Linked DNA regions of Callithrix jacchus. The protein of the gene in region 1 interacts with the protein of each later gene in a pairwise test. Links are inferred from orthologs where the notes say so. Each region holds a gene or a part of one and is shown in the gene's direction. Other genes may lie near its edges.

Region 1 (3,559 bases):
ACAAATAAAATACAGTATAACAGCTACTTACATAGCATTTATACTTTATTAGGTATTGTAATCCAGAGATGATTTAAAGTTTGTAAGGGGATGTGCATAGGTTACATGCAAATGCTATGCCATTTTATGTTAGTGTAGGCTCATGGCTAATAAAGCATGAACCCGAGTGAAGCTGCCAGGCTGTGTGTCCTTGTTCAGCCGCTTTCTGGTAGTATCTCTTCTTTCTAAACCTCAGTATTCTTATACCGTAAAACAGGCATGTTTTATCTGTATAAGGCTGTTTTAAGGAATAGTTTTTATATGTAAAGTACTTAGAACAGTGCATGGCATATAGGAAGCCCTTAATAGACACTGGCTTAAAAATAACTAGGTGTATCCTATCGAGGTATACCTGACTACTAACTATGCTTACTCTGTGTGCTTTACACTATATATTGTTGAAGGCTAGAATAATGAGGAGCCCCATGAGCAGGGTTTCATAGCATTTAAGATTCCAACACCAACCTTCAGGCATGGGTACAGGTGGCCTGTGCCATCCAGCTAGCTGTGCTGCCTCCAGGCTGGGTGGCCTGCTGCTCCTCTGTTGGATAAAAATAGCCTGACTCCTCACTGAAACAACCACCATGTTATTTGTGTCCTTGGGAAGATGAAAGTCATAGAGCTGTAAGCCTGGCGTTGCCAGCTGTCAGCAGAACTGAAATACAAAGTGTGACATGTATCCACACAGTGTCCACTGGCCTTCAGGTCCCAACTGCCATTCCCTCATCTTGATTTTTTTCCATTCTCGAATTCATTATTTCCCCTATAGGTGATTTGTGAAATGGAAACAGATTTAGATTTCCTACCTATTTAGATTTTTCCAAAGACTAAATTTTGGAAATTTAGAATTTCCAAAAATTACAAATCAGAAAAACTGCTATTGACACATACGTGGTTAAGAAATTCTGGATGTGGTTCCTATGCCTAGCCTAGTCATATGAATTCTCTCCCCGTGTATCTTTTTTTGTATGTGAAACAGGGTCTTGCTTGTCACCCAGGCTGCTGGTGCGCAGTGGTGCAATGCTCACCATGGCCTTGACTTCCTGGGCTCAAGTGATCCTCTCACTTCAGCCTCCCTAGTATTTGGGACTATAGGTGCACACCACCACGTGCAACTAATTTGTTTTGGTTTTTAGTAGACACAGGTGTCACTATGGTGCCCAGGCTAAGGTCAAACTCCTGGGCTCCAGCAATCCTCCTGCCTCGGCCTCCCAAACTCCTAGGAGGAGGAGGAATAAGTCACCAAGCCCAGACTCTCCTCATGTATCTTTTACTAAATCAAAACCTTCACTCTTTGTAAGAGTCTTCCTGTATCTTAAAACTTAATACTTTTGATCCTTCCCTGGAGCCAGGGTTTTATTTATTTATTTTTGAGACAGGGTCTCACTTTATTGCCCAGGTTGGAGTGCAGTGGGTGATCATGGCTCACTGCAGCCTCAACCTCCTGGACTCAAGTGATCCTCCCACCTCAGCCTCATGAGTAGCTGGGACTACAGGTGTGCGCCACCACACTTGTTTCTCCTCTCCCCCGCATTGGTAGAAATAGGGTCTCTTTATATTACCCAGGCTGGTCTCGAACTCCTTAGATGAAGCAATCCATTCCTCCTCAGCCTCCCAAAGTGCTGGGCTTGCAGGGCATGAACCACCGCAACTGTCCCTTTTTTTTTTCATCTCTGAGATGGAGTCTTGCTCTGTCACCCAGGCTGGAGCACAGTGGTGTGATCTCGGCTCACCGAAACCTCCGCCTCCTGGGTTCAAGCAATTCTTCTGCCTCAGCTTCCCGAGTAGCTGGGACTACACGCGTGCACCACCATGCCCAGCTAACTTTTGTAAAGAGGATTATTGATAATTCTCAGGAAGGAAGCTAGTGGGGTCTCATCCCTTTCTCAACTTTTTGTTAAGCAGTAGACAACCCTAGTCTTAAACTTTTTCATGTCTCAACTAAAACTCAAGTCAAAAAGGAAGTTATTTAATAGGTGAGCCACAGAGATAAGAGTAGCAAGCAGTGATGGGAGAAGATAATCTAGTGTAGGAAAGATGGAAAGAATGGTGATATTTCACAACTGCTAGATTGACACTTTTTAACTTGGGAGTTACCCCTCTATAAACTGGATATTTTCTGAGCAAAGTTTAAAGAAAACTCTATGTATTTACTCAGTAGAGTTTTCCAAACCCTACTTCTCATAAGCCAGTGGCTTAGCATGCTTGCTCTAATTTCTATTTTCCATTAAACAAGAGTGGAATTTCTTTTAATTCAAACCATTTGTGACTTTGCCCTTTAGTGACCTCTACCATCACCCAGTCATTAATGATCCAAGTGATAGAATGGATGACTATGTGTTTGTAGGTTGTTTGTTGTCTTTAATGAATAGATTCATTGAATGGAATTAACTGTGCTCTTCTAGAACATTGGACCTATGTTCTCATTTAGATTGTATTTGTCATTTCCCCACCATCAACAGTGGCATAATGTGAATTAATTTATGTGGTATCTGCCATCTTAACCATGGTCTCTCTCCTTCCTCTTTTTGTTTTAAACATAGGACATGGATTTGATTGACATACTTTGGAGGCAAGATATAGATCTTGGGGTAAGTCGAGAAGTATTTGACTTCAGTCAGCGACGGAAAGAGTATGAGCTGGAAAAACAGAAAAAACTTGAAAAGGAAAGACAAGAACAACTCCAAAAGGAGCAAGAGAAAGCCTTTTTCGCTCAATTACAACTAGATGAAGAGACAGGTGAATTTCTCCCAATTCAGCCAGCCCAGCACATCCAGTCAGAAACCAGTGGATCTGCCAACTACTCCCAGGTACAGAGTACTCAGTTCTTGGGAAAGTTATGGCAGGGTTTAAGTAAAGACTGACCAAGGAATTAAACTATCTGGATTTGCATTCCAGCTTTGCCTTTCGCTGTGTCTTTTATTTACTTTGTCAAATCTACTTTTGAGTTCACTACCCAAACCTACTAATCTTACAAAGTTATTGTGAGGATTAGGAGGACATGAGTTACAAGAAAGAGTTTTGTAAAGTTCAGAAACCTCCTATAAGGATCAAGTAGCAGCAACAGAAGCAGTGGCAGTAGAACCAAGTAATAGGGATTACTTACAGTACTGCGGCAAGCACTGTTTTAAGAACTTAACATATACTGACTGATTTAATCAACACAACTGTATGAATTAGGTACCATTATCCCTATTTTATCTACGATGAGCAACTGAAGCTCAAAAAGGTTAATTTGCCCAGATCACTCAGAAAATTGGAGGAGCTAAGATTTGAACCCAGGTGGTCTGGTTCAAATTGTGCCCTGAGGTGATCTCTGAAATAAGATATTTACTTGATTATAAACATTTTATGAACATCAATTATGAATATTTAGCTTGGCAATGGAATAATCATTTTTGTCTTCTTTTGTGTTACTCCCTTTTATCAGGCTGCCCACATTCCCAAATCAGATGCTTTGTACTTCGATGACTGCATGCAGCTTTTGGCGCAGACATTCCCGTTTGTAGATGACAATGAG
Region 2 (4,327 bases), on another chromosome or scaffold:
GTGCAGAGGTGTGATCTCGGCTGACTGCAACCTCCACCTCCTGGGTTCAAGCAATACTCCTGCCTCAGCCTCGAGAATAGCTGGGACTACAGGCGCGCACCACCACGCCCAGCTAATTTTTGTATTTTTAGTAGAGATGGGGTTTCACCATGTTGACCAGGATGGTCTCGAGCTCTTGACCTCGTGATCTGCCCGCCTTGGCCTCCCAAAGTGCTGGGATTACAGGCATGAGCCACTGCGCCCGGTACTCATCCCCATTTTTACATTACTGATTTGCCTGTTTTGTTTTTTGAGACAGGATCTCACCACGTCACCCAGGCTAGAGTACAGTGGCAAAATCATGGCTCACTGCAGCCTCGGCCTTCCAGGTTCAAGCCATCCTCCTGCCTCAGCTTCCTGAATAACTGGGGCTACAGGCACATACCACCACACCCGACTAATTTTTGCCATTTTTTTGTAGAGATGGAGTCTCATGATATTGCCTAGGCTGGTCTGGAACTCTTGAGCTCAAGCGATCCTCTTGGTTTGGCCTCCCAAAGTGCTGGGATTACAGGCTTGAGCCACCGTGCCCAGCTGGCCTTAAATTTTTTTATTTGTAGAGACGGGGAATAGGGAAAGGGAGGTTTCGCTATGTTGCCCAGGCTGGTCTTGAACTCCCTGCCTCCAGCGATCCTCCCGCTGGGCCTCTCAAAGCGCGGGGATTGCAGGTGCGCGGTGGGCCAGAGGCCCCCTCTGGCAGGAGAGGAAGGCGTGGCCGGGGGCGTGGTCGCGGGCGGGGCGGCATGACGTGCGCGTCGCGGATCCCGGAAGCGGTGTCAGATGCTGGGGAACCGGGAGGGCGGGCGCGGTGGCGGCGGGCGGCGGGGGGGGCTTGTTGTTCTTCGCAAAGTCTGAGCCCGAGCGCCAGGCGGCGGCGGCGGCTGAGGGGAGCGCCAGAGTGAGCGCCGGCGCGAGGACAGCGCGTGCCCGCGAGGAGCCGCCGCGCGCCCGCGCCACCCGCGCGACGCCAGGTGAGGGGCGGCGGGGCGGCCGGGCAGCCGGGAGGGGTCGCGGGGCCGGGCCTCCTGGCCGCTGAATCACAGTAGCCCCCGGCGCGGGCCGGGGGTGGCGGGGCCGGGTGCGCAGGGCCCGAGACTCCTATGCGGCCCACGGGGCGGCCCGCGCACCTGCTCAGGTGGGTCCCGCCCCGCAGGCCAAGGGGGCTTCCCCGGGCCCGGCGCCGGGATGCGAGGCTCCCACCCCTGAGCGTGCCTCCCGGGCCATGCTTGTGGTGCCCGGGGCCCTGGGGCGTGGACGCCAGACTTGGGGGAACGGGGGCCCCCGTGGGGAGGGGGCGCGCACCGGGCCCGCGCCTTCACACCTGCGGGGGGCGGGGCGGGCGCCACGTGCGGGCGGCGCGGGGAGGGCGCGGGCGCGTGGATTCCCCGCGGCTTCCGCCCCAGCGTGGCTTCCGCGTGCGCCCTGGCCTGCCTCCCGCGCTTCCTCCTCGTGACTGGCGGCGCTTCGGCCCAATGGCAGGGCCCACGCGCGCCCGGTGACGGGCTAGGGGTAACCGAGTCTCCCCAGAGGCGGGGTTCTGGGACTGGTGTAGCTCTCAGCCGCCCACCTGCGGGGGGGTGGGGGAAGGAAGACCTTGCGGGAGGCTAGAGGGGGCAGGTGACAGTGGCCCCAAGGCGCGTATCCTTTTGCCCACTTGTGGGGCAGGGGCTCAGGCCTCTTCCAGCTCCCACTGCATGGGTTCTTCTGTGCCTCTGTCAAGTTCAGGAAACTGTGTATGTGCCTGTGACTGTGTGTGTGCGTGCGCTTGCGTGTGTGTCTGCACAGCCTCTAGATCCGGGGGCGTGGGAGGAGGTGCCACCGAGGAACCCAGAAAGCCAGGACCTGGCCTGGCCTTGGCCCTTAACCTGGGTCTGCCTGGGGCACAGTAGTGGCCTTGAGCTGTGTGTGCTGTGTTCTCATGCTCTTGCCCGGTGTGTTCTCGGGGCCTCCTGTGTGCCTCTCTCTGGTCCTGTGCCCCTGAGCATGCTGTTGCTTGCTTCTTAACGCGGCTTTTGTAGCCTAGGCAGAAATCAGATCCACTGCACCATTCATTCATCAAGTGACCCACAGGCAGCCAGCCACTCTCTGGCCAGGTGCCTGGCCTTGGGAAGATCCTGAGACTCAAACCTCCCACCCACTGCCGGACACTGTGGGTTAGGGATATCTGTGTGGGATAGGGATATCTGTGTGGGCTCCGGCACAGCCCTTCTTGCCCCTCTGATTCTCCAGGGTAGGCTTCTAGGTTTCTGGACTGGCGTTGAGGTTTTAGCGTGTGTTGTAAAGGGATCTCCAAGACAGGGGGGTGCATGGTGCAGCTTCTCCAAGCCCAGCATCTTCAGGGACTTGGAGTGTTAAAAGAGCTGTGGGTGGGGTCTGGAGAGTGTGGGTGGGCTGTGCAGGTGGCTGGGACACACCTGCACCCTGTTTGGGCATCAGCACCATTTATGAGACCGTCTCCCCTCCTTAGGTAACCCAGCAGGAATGTGTGAGTTTGACCTTGGTAGAGGGAGTCTACTTTTAAAACTAGACCTCTCATTATTCCAAAATAAGCCATTTATTCAAGCAAAAACACAAACCAGGCTTCTCCTGCCTTTTAGCCTTGAACTCAACCAGGGCTTTGAGGGGCTGGTTCCCTGCAGTGTTGTTGACTCCCCAGGTGCCAGTAAACGGGGGGAGCCAGTGTTTACCGAGGGTCAGGGCTGTCGGGGTGCCAGCCTTTCTGTGCGCCTGGGAGGCTGCTGTGTTGGGCCACTCTGTGTCTACAAGGCGCGTGCTTTCATCCACGGGGCTCGCCAATGGCTGCAGCGTTTGTTTACAGTCACCGGCAAAAGCTGTTTACCACCCAGACCTAGAAGAAGTTGTGCCTGTTCCTGTCCCAGCTGTTTCTGAGTCTAAAGGTTTCTGGAGTGGACTTTCTGGGTTTCGGGTCCAGTCCACACGGGAAATGGAAATCTGGCCAGCTGGGAGAACGCTCTGTGTGGCTGCCTCTCCACAGTAAACAGTGACTCACCGCTCCGTCCCCACCCTCCTTGCTCTCCGAGAATGGAAGATGCTTTTCCCTGCTATTTATTTTTGCTTTTTATAAGTCACAGACTCGTCATGTTTCCGCTTTCCTGCAGTTTCAGGAAACTGGGAGTGTCGTCTTAAAATCGGAGTTTAGAGCAGGTACACATGAACCTGAGTGGCTACACACCCCACCCTGACCGGCCACTCTAGATGAGGAAACCCAGGCTGTGACATCTGCTGGCCTGGCCCCAGGGCTGGTGGGGTCTGGTCTAGAGCCTGCCTGCTTCTCCACGCTGTGCTTCGGGCACGTTGGGGAAAGTATTGGGGTGGAGGCTGCTCTCTCCCTGCCCTCCTGTGCGGGGCTGGCTCATCTCTTGCAGCGGGGGCTCGTGTAGGGTGTAGGGAAGACATGCTCCCTACTTCAAGGAGCTTACCATGCTGTGGGGAGGCCCCCTGTCCCCAGAAGGATCTAGAACCAGGCCTTGGTAGAGGGTGTTTGCCTTCATGAGGACAATGGAGAGTGTTTCTGGAAGAAGCAGGGCTTGAGGGTGGGCAGGAACCATGTGCTCAGTGCAGATGGTGGGGGGATCAGAAACCTGCCATGGCTTTGGGACGGAGGAGTTGGGGTTCCGGAGGAACCCCAAGCCTGTGTTGCTGCGTGTGGGGCGCCAGGATCAGGGTGAGGGCATCCCATTTGGCCAAAGCTGTGGTCTAGACAAGAGAAGTTGGAGGCCCGAGCCAGGGCAGGTGCCATGGGTTCGGGCAGGCAATGCTTGGGGATTGGGATCAAGCCAGGTCGGTGAGTGGACAAGGAAAGGAGAGAGGGTTGGGGCCACACCATTGAATGATGCAGTTGGGGGCTGGGGGGGTGCGTCTGGGCCCCCTGAAATGCCCCTGGTTGTACTTGGAGGCTGGAGGAGCTGGGTAAAGCCCCAGGGCGGTTGGGGAAGAACAGGATGCTGATGGGGAGCAGAGGCCGAGGACAGGAGGATGGTATGGGAGCTAGGGCAGGGACTGGAGCGGGTGTGTTCTGCAGTTTGCTCTCTGCTGCTGCAGCTGCCTGAGTCACCTCTGGATGTAGTGGGATGACACAGCTTCCTCAGACTACAAATGCAAGGTGACCAGACGTCCTCCAAGTGGGTCTGACAGTTGTGGCTTGCTGGAGGGCGGCCAGCCAGGACCAGGCTGCGAGCTGGTGTGGGCCAAGCTAGGGGTGCCAAGCGGGGTGCCTCCTGCATGCTGAGGGGGGCTGTGTCCAGAAAAGCTGGACCGTGGGGACTCT
Region 3 (4,228 bases), on another chromosome or scaffold:
CCACCTAGGCGTGATTATATGGATGGGTTTTAAGCCCTCGGACGTTGGAGGGATTGCCAGCCTGAGGCCAGCTTTCCACAAGAACTCTGCACAAGATACTACAACTCCCTTTCAGGAGGAGTGACTCTTGCTGCAAGCCTGCCATACAGCGGGTGTCATTACCATACCCGAACGCTGCCACCTGGGCAGACCTGCCACGTAGCGCTTGCCCTTTCAGGCAGGGGCTCTACCGCCTGGGTCATTGATTCTTGTCCTGGTGTGGCTGTTTTTCCCTAGTTCATGCTCTGCAGTGTGTCTGCTCTAGACATTCCTCCAACTACAAACTAAGGCATGATTATCTATGAAGAGATTATATATAAAAGGAAATAAGTGAGGAGTGAGCAGTAAGATATTCTTCAGGCACTAATCGTGCCGGGGGTCTGCTTAGCTCTCCTTCCTTGGTGCCCAGAAAGGGGTTACCCACACAGATATGGGGTCTCAGGTGGACAGAAATGCACAGAGAGACTGTGAGCCCCCACAGACACAAACGCAGAGAGGGGCAGACATGCAGAGACAAAACCACCTGGAGACATTTGCCAAGAAACACACTGAGGGTCACGGAAAGAGACAGATTCAGAGACAGCCCAAGACAGAGAGCCAGCGAGGGACCCCAGAAAATGCATAGAAACACACAAAGACTGATACCACAGGAGACAGACACTGAGAGGCGTGAAGGGTGAGGAAGTCTGCTCTCCAGGGCTGGTTGAACCTGGAGTTCAAGGTCGTGGCTTGGCTGGGAAGAGGGAGGGGGATGCCAAAAAAGATCAGTGTCAGATGGACGGGGGGAGAGAGGGTAGGTTTCCACCCTAATTGACACCCCATCCTCCCCTCCCCTCCCCCCAACACCTGCTTCCTGGCTTTAGTGCCTGTTGTCACAAGTATGGAATCCTGGTGGCAGACAAAGGGGTGGGGGTGGGGAGACAGAAAGATGGACAGACACAGGGGGAGACTAAGCAGCAGAGACAGACATATAGAGATACACAGATGGAGAGCCACAGAGACCACAGAAACGGGTCCAGAAAGAGGGAACAGAGAGGAAAACTGGAAACATTCCTTATAGCCTTTTTGTCATTAGTAGGTTCTCCAAGGACCTACTGTGTGCTGGACGTTGGGACATCAAATGCAGGGAGGCAGCTATAAGGGAGGTAGCTGGAGCACCGTGGGGGCCTGGGGCTGGGGGTGGGAGCAGGGCTCCAGGGCCCCGCTGATGGGGTTGGGGAGGAGCCCACGGAGGCATTTGGACCCTTAGTTTGAAAAACGAGAGGAACAGCAGGGCTGTCTCTGAGCTCCCAGACTTGTGTTTGAGCAAAGGAATTCTCTCCTCCTCCCTCTCCCCTCGGGGCGGGGCCCAGCCTCCAGCTATAAAACCCCTGGAGCTTCAGTGCCCGTGGTGAGGCTCAGCCACAAGATTCACAGGATCTCAGACGCAGCCTAGGTATAGGTAAGGGGCTCTGCTGGGCCCTGTGATCTCCACGGACGGTGTCCTTGGGAGAGGGGGCAGGAGGCAGGTGGGGAAGATGTGGGGTGTGGAGAAATCATGCAGAGGTACATGGGGAATACAACTGGAGGTCTCGGAACTTGAGAGGCTCGGACTTTAGGGGGACTTGGGATAGAGGGGAAAATATTAGGATTTGTGGGTTACAGAGATCCTAGTCTGGGGCTGCCAGGACTTGGGTGTCCCAGAATAAAACCACCTAGATCTTGGGGTTCTGGGGGTCTTGGGGGAAAGCTCAGAAGTCAGGGACATCTGGACTTGGAGGTCAAACAGTCTGGGTATCAGGATTTGGGGCTCAGACTCTGAGGGTATCAGGAATTGGGGCGGGGTCTCAGAATCTGGGGTTTTAGGAGTGGAAGCCTCAGAATCTGAGGTTTAGGATAGAAACCATCACCACCTGGAGTGTCATTATCTGGGGCGTCATCATTTGGGCCTCCGAGTTTGGGTATCAAGGTTTTGGGGGGGTCTCATATTCTCGAGGCTTCAGAATTTAGGAGGTCTTAGGATGTCCTGGCCCATATGTGGACCATCAGGAAATGGGCTGTCAGAATCTGGAGCTGTGAGGACTTGTGGTCTCAGAAACACAGGCACCAAAAATCCAGGTCTCAGAATCCATGGGTATTGGGATTTGGGGATGGGCACCCTGTGGCCTAGGATGTCTTGAAGACTTCGGGGTCTAAGAATGTAGGGGTCAGAGTGAGGTCTGTGGACAGAAGGTGCCCTTTGGGCGCTGCCCCAACCCCCCCGCCCCGTGTGATGTATGGGAAGGTGAAAGGGGAGACAGGTGGGGAGGAAAGCAGCCAGCGGGAGGGGTGGGTGGGAGAGGGATGCAGGTGACCAGCTCTCCCAGAAGCCCCCCTTCCTCAAATCCCTTCTTAGGAAATGTCCTCTGTTTCACCATCTACGACATCCCCCCAAAATAGCTCCTGGGGGTGGGGCAGCTATTGTCTTCAGGCCACTGTCCCTTCTCAAATGCCTCCTCCTAATCCCAGCTGGATCAGGTTCCCATGGGCTTGTCATAAGACAAAAGAGAACAGCTGTGCTGAGGGGGGCAGGGTCTGCAGCCTCCGGGCTGTGCCTCAGACCACACCTACCAGGGCCTGTCCTCCTGAGACAGCCAGGAGTCCAGACCCCGGCCTCTCCCGCCTCGGAGCCAGGAGTGCAGACCCCAGCCCCTCCCCCCTCGGACCCAGGAGTGCAGACCCCAGCCTCTCCCGCCTCGGACCCAGGAGTGCAGACCCCAGCCTCTCCCCCTTCGGACCCAGGAGTGCAGACTCCAGCCCCTCCCCCCTCGGACCCAGGAGTCCAGACCCCAGCCTCTCCCGCCTCGGACCCAGGAGTGCAGACCCCAGCCCCTCCCCCCTCGGAGCCAGGAGTCCAGACCCCAGCCCCTCCCGCCTCGGACCCAGGAGTCCAGACCCCAGCCCCTCCCCCCTCGGACCCAGGAGTGCAGACCCCAGCCCCTCCCCCCTCGGACCCAGGAGTGCAGACCCCAGCCTCTCCCGCCTCGGACCCAGGAGTGCAGACCCCAGCCCCTCCCCCTCGGACCCAGGAGTGCAGACCCCAGCCCCTCCCCCTCGGACCCAGGAGTGCAGACCCCAGCCTCTCCCGCCTCGGACCCAGGAGTGCAGACCCCAGCCTCTCCCCCTTCGGACCCAGGAGTGCAGACCCCAGCCCCTCCCCCCTCGGAGCCAGGAGTCCAGACCCCAGCCCCTCCCGCCTCGGACCCAGGAGTCCAGACCCCAGCCCCTCCCCCCTCGGACCCAGGAGTGCAGACCCCAGCCCCTCCCCCCTCGGACCCAGGAGTGCAGACCCCAGCCTCTCCCGCCTCGGACCCAGGAGTGCAGACCCCAGCCCCTCCCCCTCGGACCCAGGAGTGCAGACCCCAGCCCCTCCCCCTCGGACCCAGGAGTGCAGACCCCAGCCTCTCCCGCCTCGGACCCAGGAGTGCAGACCCCAGCCTCTCCCGCCTCGGAGCCAGGAGTGCAGACCCCAGCCTCTCCCCCCTCGGACCCAGGAGTGCAGACCCCAGCCTCTCCCGCCTCGGAGCCAGGAGTGCAGACCCCAGCCCCTCCCCACTCGGACCCAGGAGTGCAGATCCCAGCCCCTCCTCCCTCGGACCCAGGAGTCCAGGCCGCAGCCCCTCCTCCCTCAGACCCAGGAGTGCAGACCCCAGCCCCTCCTCCCTCGGACCCAGGAATCCAGAGCCCAGCTCCTCCTCCCTCGGACCCAGGAGTCCAGACCCCAGTCCCTCCTCCCTCGGACCCAGGAGTCCAGACCCTCAGCGCCTCCTCCCTGGGACCCAGGGGTCCAGACCCCAGCCCCTCCTCCCTCGGACCCAGGAATCCAGACCCCAGCCCCTCCTCCCTCGGACCCAGGAGTCCAGACCCCAGCCCCTCCTCCCTCAGACCCAGGAGTCCAGACCCTCAGCGCCTCCTCCCTCGGACCCAGGAGTCCAGACCCCAGCCTCTCCCCCCTCAGACCCAGGAGTGCAGACTCCAGCCTCTCCCTCCTCGGACCCAGGAGTGCAGACCCCAGTCCCTCCTCCCTCGGACCCAGGGGTCCAGACCCCAGCCCCTCCTCCCTCAGACGCAGGAGTCCAGGCCGCAGCCCCTCCTCCCTCGGACCCAGGTGTCCAGACCCCAGCCCCTCCTCCCTCAGACCCAGGAGTCCAGGCCCCCAGCGCCTCCCCCC
Region 4 (4,272 bases), on another chromosome or scaffold:
TCTGGTAGACTGAGGCGCAGAGGAAGGAAAGCAAGATAAGGGCTCTGAAATCGAATTCGCCATGTCAAGGAAAGTGGGGATCCTTGCTGGTGATCAGGGTGCCACACAGAGGCCTCCCATTTGGAGAGGTCCTATGCCCTCCACAGTGGAATAAGTGCCATGATGTCAATTTCACAGGAGAGGCTGTGGGAGCGATGGAATTTCAGGCAGTGAGAACATCATGAGAAAAGGAAAGGGGGGGATGAATGGCAACGTCTATCCCCCATGTGGCTTCCAAAGCCATCTCTTTTGGGTGGGGCTTCCCATCACAGCATGCATCCCTCATGTTTATGTGGCCCTCCTCCCCTGATTGTGATGTACCCCCCAAAGTAAGCTGAGACTGTGCCACTGCACTCCAGCCTGGGTGACAGAGTGAGACCCTGTCTCAAAAACAATAAGAAAACAAAACAAAACAACAACAAAAAATTCAGAGGTGAAGATTGCTTTAACCAGGGTGATCAGAAAGGTCTCTCTGAGGCAGTGACATCTGAGCTGACCTGAAAGATGAGAAAGAGGCAGGCCAGTGAACAGAAGAGACAGCCAGTGCCAAGGGCCTGTGGCAAGAATGGGCTTAGTATGTTTGGGGGACAGAAAGAAGGGTACTGTGGCTGAAGAGTGGTGGATGAGGAGAGACTGGCCAGAGGAGGTGTGTAAACAACCTGAGCTTTCTTTTGAGAAGAACATTGCCTGGTGTAGGAAGACAGACTTTGGAGGCAAAGTAGGGAGCCTGTCTATCCAGAGGCTGCTGCCACTGTCCGGGTGAGCTGATGGTGCCAGGACCAAGTGGCAGGACTGGAGGTGGTGAGAAGTGGTCCTATGCAGGAGACCCAGAAACACCGCTAGAGTTCTCAGGTGGGGAGGAAGTGAAAGTGAGGGATGGAGCCAGGATCCCAGGTTCTGGCTTGAACAGCTGAGATCGGGTGGTAGGGAGCGGAGTTAACTGACCATCAGGTGCAGGCTTTGGGCCGAGTCGTTTGCAGTCGTCTCCCATCTGACACCCACTGGAGACGCAGACTGGGTTGCTGGCTATGAGTCTGGAACTCAGAGAAGCTGTTCGCTCTGGAAATACAAACCTGGGACTTACAGCCACGTAGATGACATTTAAAGACACGAACTGGATGAGATGAGATCATTAAGGCAGAAGCTGTAGGTCGAAAGAAGAGGTCCAGGACCCCTGACTGTAAAATGAACCAATGACACCTCCACCCACCGGGCTCTCGCGAGGTGTCACGTGAACGAACCCAGCAAAGGCTGGAACCGGGCAGAGAATCGCTGCGGCCCTGGGGGCGGGGCATCCGGGGGCGGGGTCAGAAGGGGCGGGGCCGAGGGACCAGGCGGCCGCTCCGGGCCGGAGGGCGGCCGGGGCGGTGACGTCACCGCATGACTGGGTTTTTATGAATGAAAGGAATCCTGTGAGTGAGTAATTCCGGGAAGCTCGCTTTACAACTCCGCGCTGCCTCGGCCCCCTGCGCCGCCCGCCCCACAACAAAACTCTGCGCAGCGCTCCCGGGCGCCCGGTTCAGAGCGACCTGCGGCTCAGAGCGGAGGGGAGACGGACCAGAGCGCGGGCCGGGACAGCCGAGAGACGCGCGCGTGCGAGCGCGCCGGGCCAGGCGGGCCCAGAGGCGGGTGAGGAACGCGGGGCCAGGAGGACGGTGCGCGGGACCCCGAAGCGGCAGGGTTTCCGCGCCCCGGGACGCGCCTGAAGCGGGCGCCCGGGCCGGATCCGTCGGGGCTCCAGGGACTCCGTCACTCATCGGACGGCTGGGGGCGGGAGAGGGGAGCGGCCGTCCCGGGGACGCCGAGACGGGGCCGAGGCCAGCTCGGCGGAGTGGGGGTGGAGACGGGGCCCCTTCCCGGGGAGCGGGCGGGGAGGCGGCGGCGCCGGGGAGGAAGGGGCAGCGCAGGCTGGCGATCTCCGCGTCCGCCCGGCGGGGGCGGGGGCGCTGTGCTCCTACGTGACTCGGTGGGAACAGGCCCTGGCCCGGCGCCCGCGGGCGGTGCGTGCGCGGTTTGTTTACGTCCGAGGGCGGGCGGACGTGTGTTCCCTGGCGGGAGGCCTGGGTGTCCTGCCCGGTGCGTGCGTCCGCGGTGTACTTCGGGGGGCGCGTGTGCGTGTGTTGTGTTGTGTTGTGTTGCGCGTGTGCTTGTGTGTGCGTGTCCGCGCGCGCGCTCCCTGGGGCCTGTACACCAGCAGTGTGTACCTCGGAGAGGGCGTGCCCTGGGCTCTCCACAGGAGTAAACGCGGAACAAGGACCCGAGCGAAGGAAACGGACCCGTGCTTCTTCACGCCGGGTGTGCGAATTCTGGCCGCGGCCGCCCGAGTCCTACTACCCAGGGATGCCCGGCCTGCCGCGCTCCTCGGAGTTTCCCAGGGCCTCCACCACGTGACCCGAGTGTTTGTCCCCCGCCCAGAGCCGGCGCCTGCAGCCACAGGGTGGGGCAAGGTATCGAAGACCTCACCCAGCTGAGCTAGAAGTGAGGGGTGTGAGCCACTCCCTGCTTGGCACCCTAGTGGATCTGGTAACGAAGTGAGTTGGAGCCCAGGTTCTTGTCCCCAGATTTTGGGGCTCCTTGGGAAGGGATGACCCAACATAGTGTCTTTCCTCCCCAGGGTTTTGCATCTCCTCAGTCCCATTAGAACAGGAAGGGCTAGAAAACAGTCTGCAAAGCTCGGGGGCAGGGAGAGGACCCCAGGCTTTCTCGATAGTCCAGGTTCCAGAGGCTGTACTTACTAGGTCTCGGAGGATGGGGTAGAGCCGGTTTCGCCCTCCTGGTAGCTTCGGTTCACCAGTGGGACTAGTGAGACTAGACTGACCTACAGCTAGACGCGGGAAGCTAGCTGAGGCTCTGAACCAGAGGCGAGTCCTCACCCTTGGCCAGGCAGGGTCAGCAGGCAGTGGGGACAGGCCTCTGACTGCAGGAAGGGTTAATGAGTGAGGGATGGGGCCTGACCTAGCTGCCACCTACCCACTCACCCAGTAACCCTGTAGAAAGCACCTGTTTAGTGTGGCAGCCTGCAGGATGGGCTGGTCTTAATCCACCTTCCCCCTCCACCCACCCACAGGTCTACAGAATCATGGGAGGGGGGCAGTTGGGCTTGCCAGGGTGAGGAACCAATGATCTTTTGACTTTGGATCTTTGAACCCTGGTGAGCTCTGCTACAGCAACCAGGACCCTCAATGTCCCCATCTGCCACTGGAACTAGGTAATAGCCAGGGTGGCAGGGTGGTGGGTAGGAGGGGGAAGCTCTGGAAGTCTCTGCAGACAGCGTACTTTCCAGGGGAACTGTGGAAGAGAAAGCAGAGCTGACAGCAGACAGCTGAGGGTACCCAAGAGTAGGTGGGGTTTGAGTCAGGGGGTTTGGGCCAGGAGTACAGGAACCAGTCAGGCCCACTCTCAAAGCTGGGCAGGAAACATTCCAAAGTAGGGCCAGGGGTCAGGGGATGAGGGGAAGTGGCTGGCTGACTCAGTCCCAGATGGAAAGTTAGCACTGAGAGGTTTAACCTCCCATTCAGTCACCCCTGGGCCCTGCATTGCCGTTGGGCCCCTGTCCTGGACCAGATGCCGGGGATGATTTGAACAGACCAGATCCAGAGACTGCCCTCTGGGAGCGTACAGCTGAGCAGGGGACATAGAGTTGAAAAAAGATCCACAGAAGTAGATGCAAAACACAGCTGGGATGGATGATGTGAGGGAGAAGTGACCGTGGTTTGAAAGTACGTAACAGCGCTCTGACTTAGCCAGGGCAATCAAGGAAGGCTTCCCTGGGGAGGTGACTAGTGAGCTGAGTCTGATAGAGTGGTGGTTGTCTGTGAAGCCCTTGAAGGCAGGACTGTGACTCATTTTAGGGTGTCCAGGGCCCAGCCTGGACCACAGTAGGTGCTTCTTGGATGTCTGCTGATTGAATGAATGAGCCCTGGGTCCCTGACCTTGAAGAGCTCCACAACACATGGAGAAAAAGGCCTGGGAACCCCAGAGAAACAGGAGCCGGAGCTGGGGCTGGAGGAATCTTGAAGCAGTCTCCCAAAAGCGAGTAGATCCTTCAGGGCTCAGGAGACTTCCTCCCTGATGCACACAGGCATGCACTGCCCAGCTGTCCCTTTGGGAAGCATTCAGGGATAGCAGAACTGGCTGTCTGTTCATTCGTTTGCATGTGATCCTGGGAGAGAGTGGACAGGAACATGGCTGAGGCCTGAGGGCCCTACTGTGTGGGCTCACGGGAGGCTGGCA

Evidence for each region.
Region 2: the proteins of NFE2L2 (region 1) and MAFK interact in binary tests that used the Homo sapiens proteins (3 or more experiments, as listed by UniProt). The link is inferred for Callithrix jacchus from reciprocal best matches to the Homo sapiens genes NFE2L2 and MAFK.
Region 3: the proteins of NFE2L2 (region 1) and TNNT1 interact in binary tests that used the Homo sapiens proteins (3 or more experiments, as listed by UniProt). The two-hybrid records come from large-scale screens. The link is inferred for Callithrix jacchus from reciprocal best matches to the Homo sapiens genes NFE2L2 and TNNT1.
Region 4: the proteins of NFE2L2 (region 1) and MAFF interact in binary tests that used the Homo sapiens proteins (3 or more experiments, as listed by UniProt). The link is inferred for Callithrix jacchus from reciprocal best matches to the Homo sapiens genes NFE2L2 and MAFF.

Annotation. Positions count from the first base shown.
Region 1 is NC_133507.1:52,139,387-52,142,945, forward strand, and holds part of NFE2L2 (nuclear factor erythroid 2-related factor 2), read left to right. Parts: intron 1-2,582; coding exon 2,583-2,849; intron 2,850-3,469; coding exon 3,470-3,559.
Region 2 is NC_133503.1:57,503,448-57,507,774, reverse strand, and holds the start of MAFK (transcription factor MafK), read left to right. Parts: upstream 1-1,488; 5' UTR 1,489-1,733; coding exon 1,734-1,772; intron 1,773-4,327. UniProt on the Homo sapiens protein: Since they lack a putative transactivation domain, the small Mafs behave as transcriptional repressors when they dimerize among themselves.
Region 3 is NC_133523.1:48,010,645-48,014,872, reverse strand, and holds the start of TNNT1 (troponin T, slow skeletal muscle), read left to right. Parts: upstream 1-1,428; 5' UTR 1,429-1,480; intron 1,481-4,228. UniProt on the Homo sapiens protein: Troponin T is the tropomyosin-binding subunit of troponin, the thin filament regulatory complex which confers calcium-sensitivity to striated muscle actomyosin ATPase activity.
Region 4 is NC_133502.1:209,188,414-209,192,685, forward strand, and holds the start of MAFF (transcription factor MafF), read left to right. Parts: upstream 1-1,457; 5' UTR 1,458-1,668; intron 1,669-4,272. UniProt on the Homo sapiens protein: Since they lack a putative transactivation domain, the small Mafs behave as transcriptional repressors when they dimerize among themselves.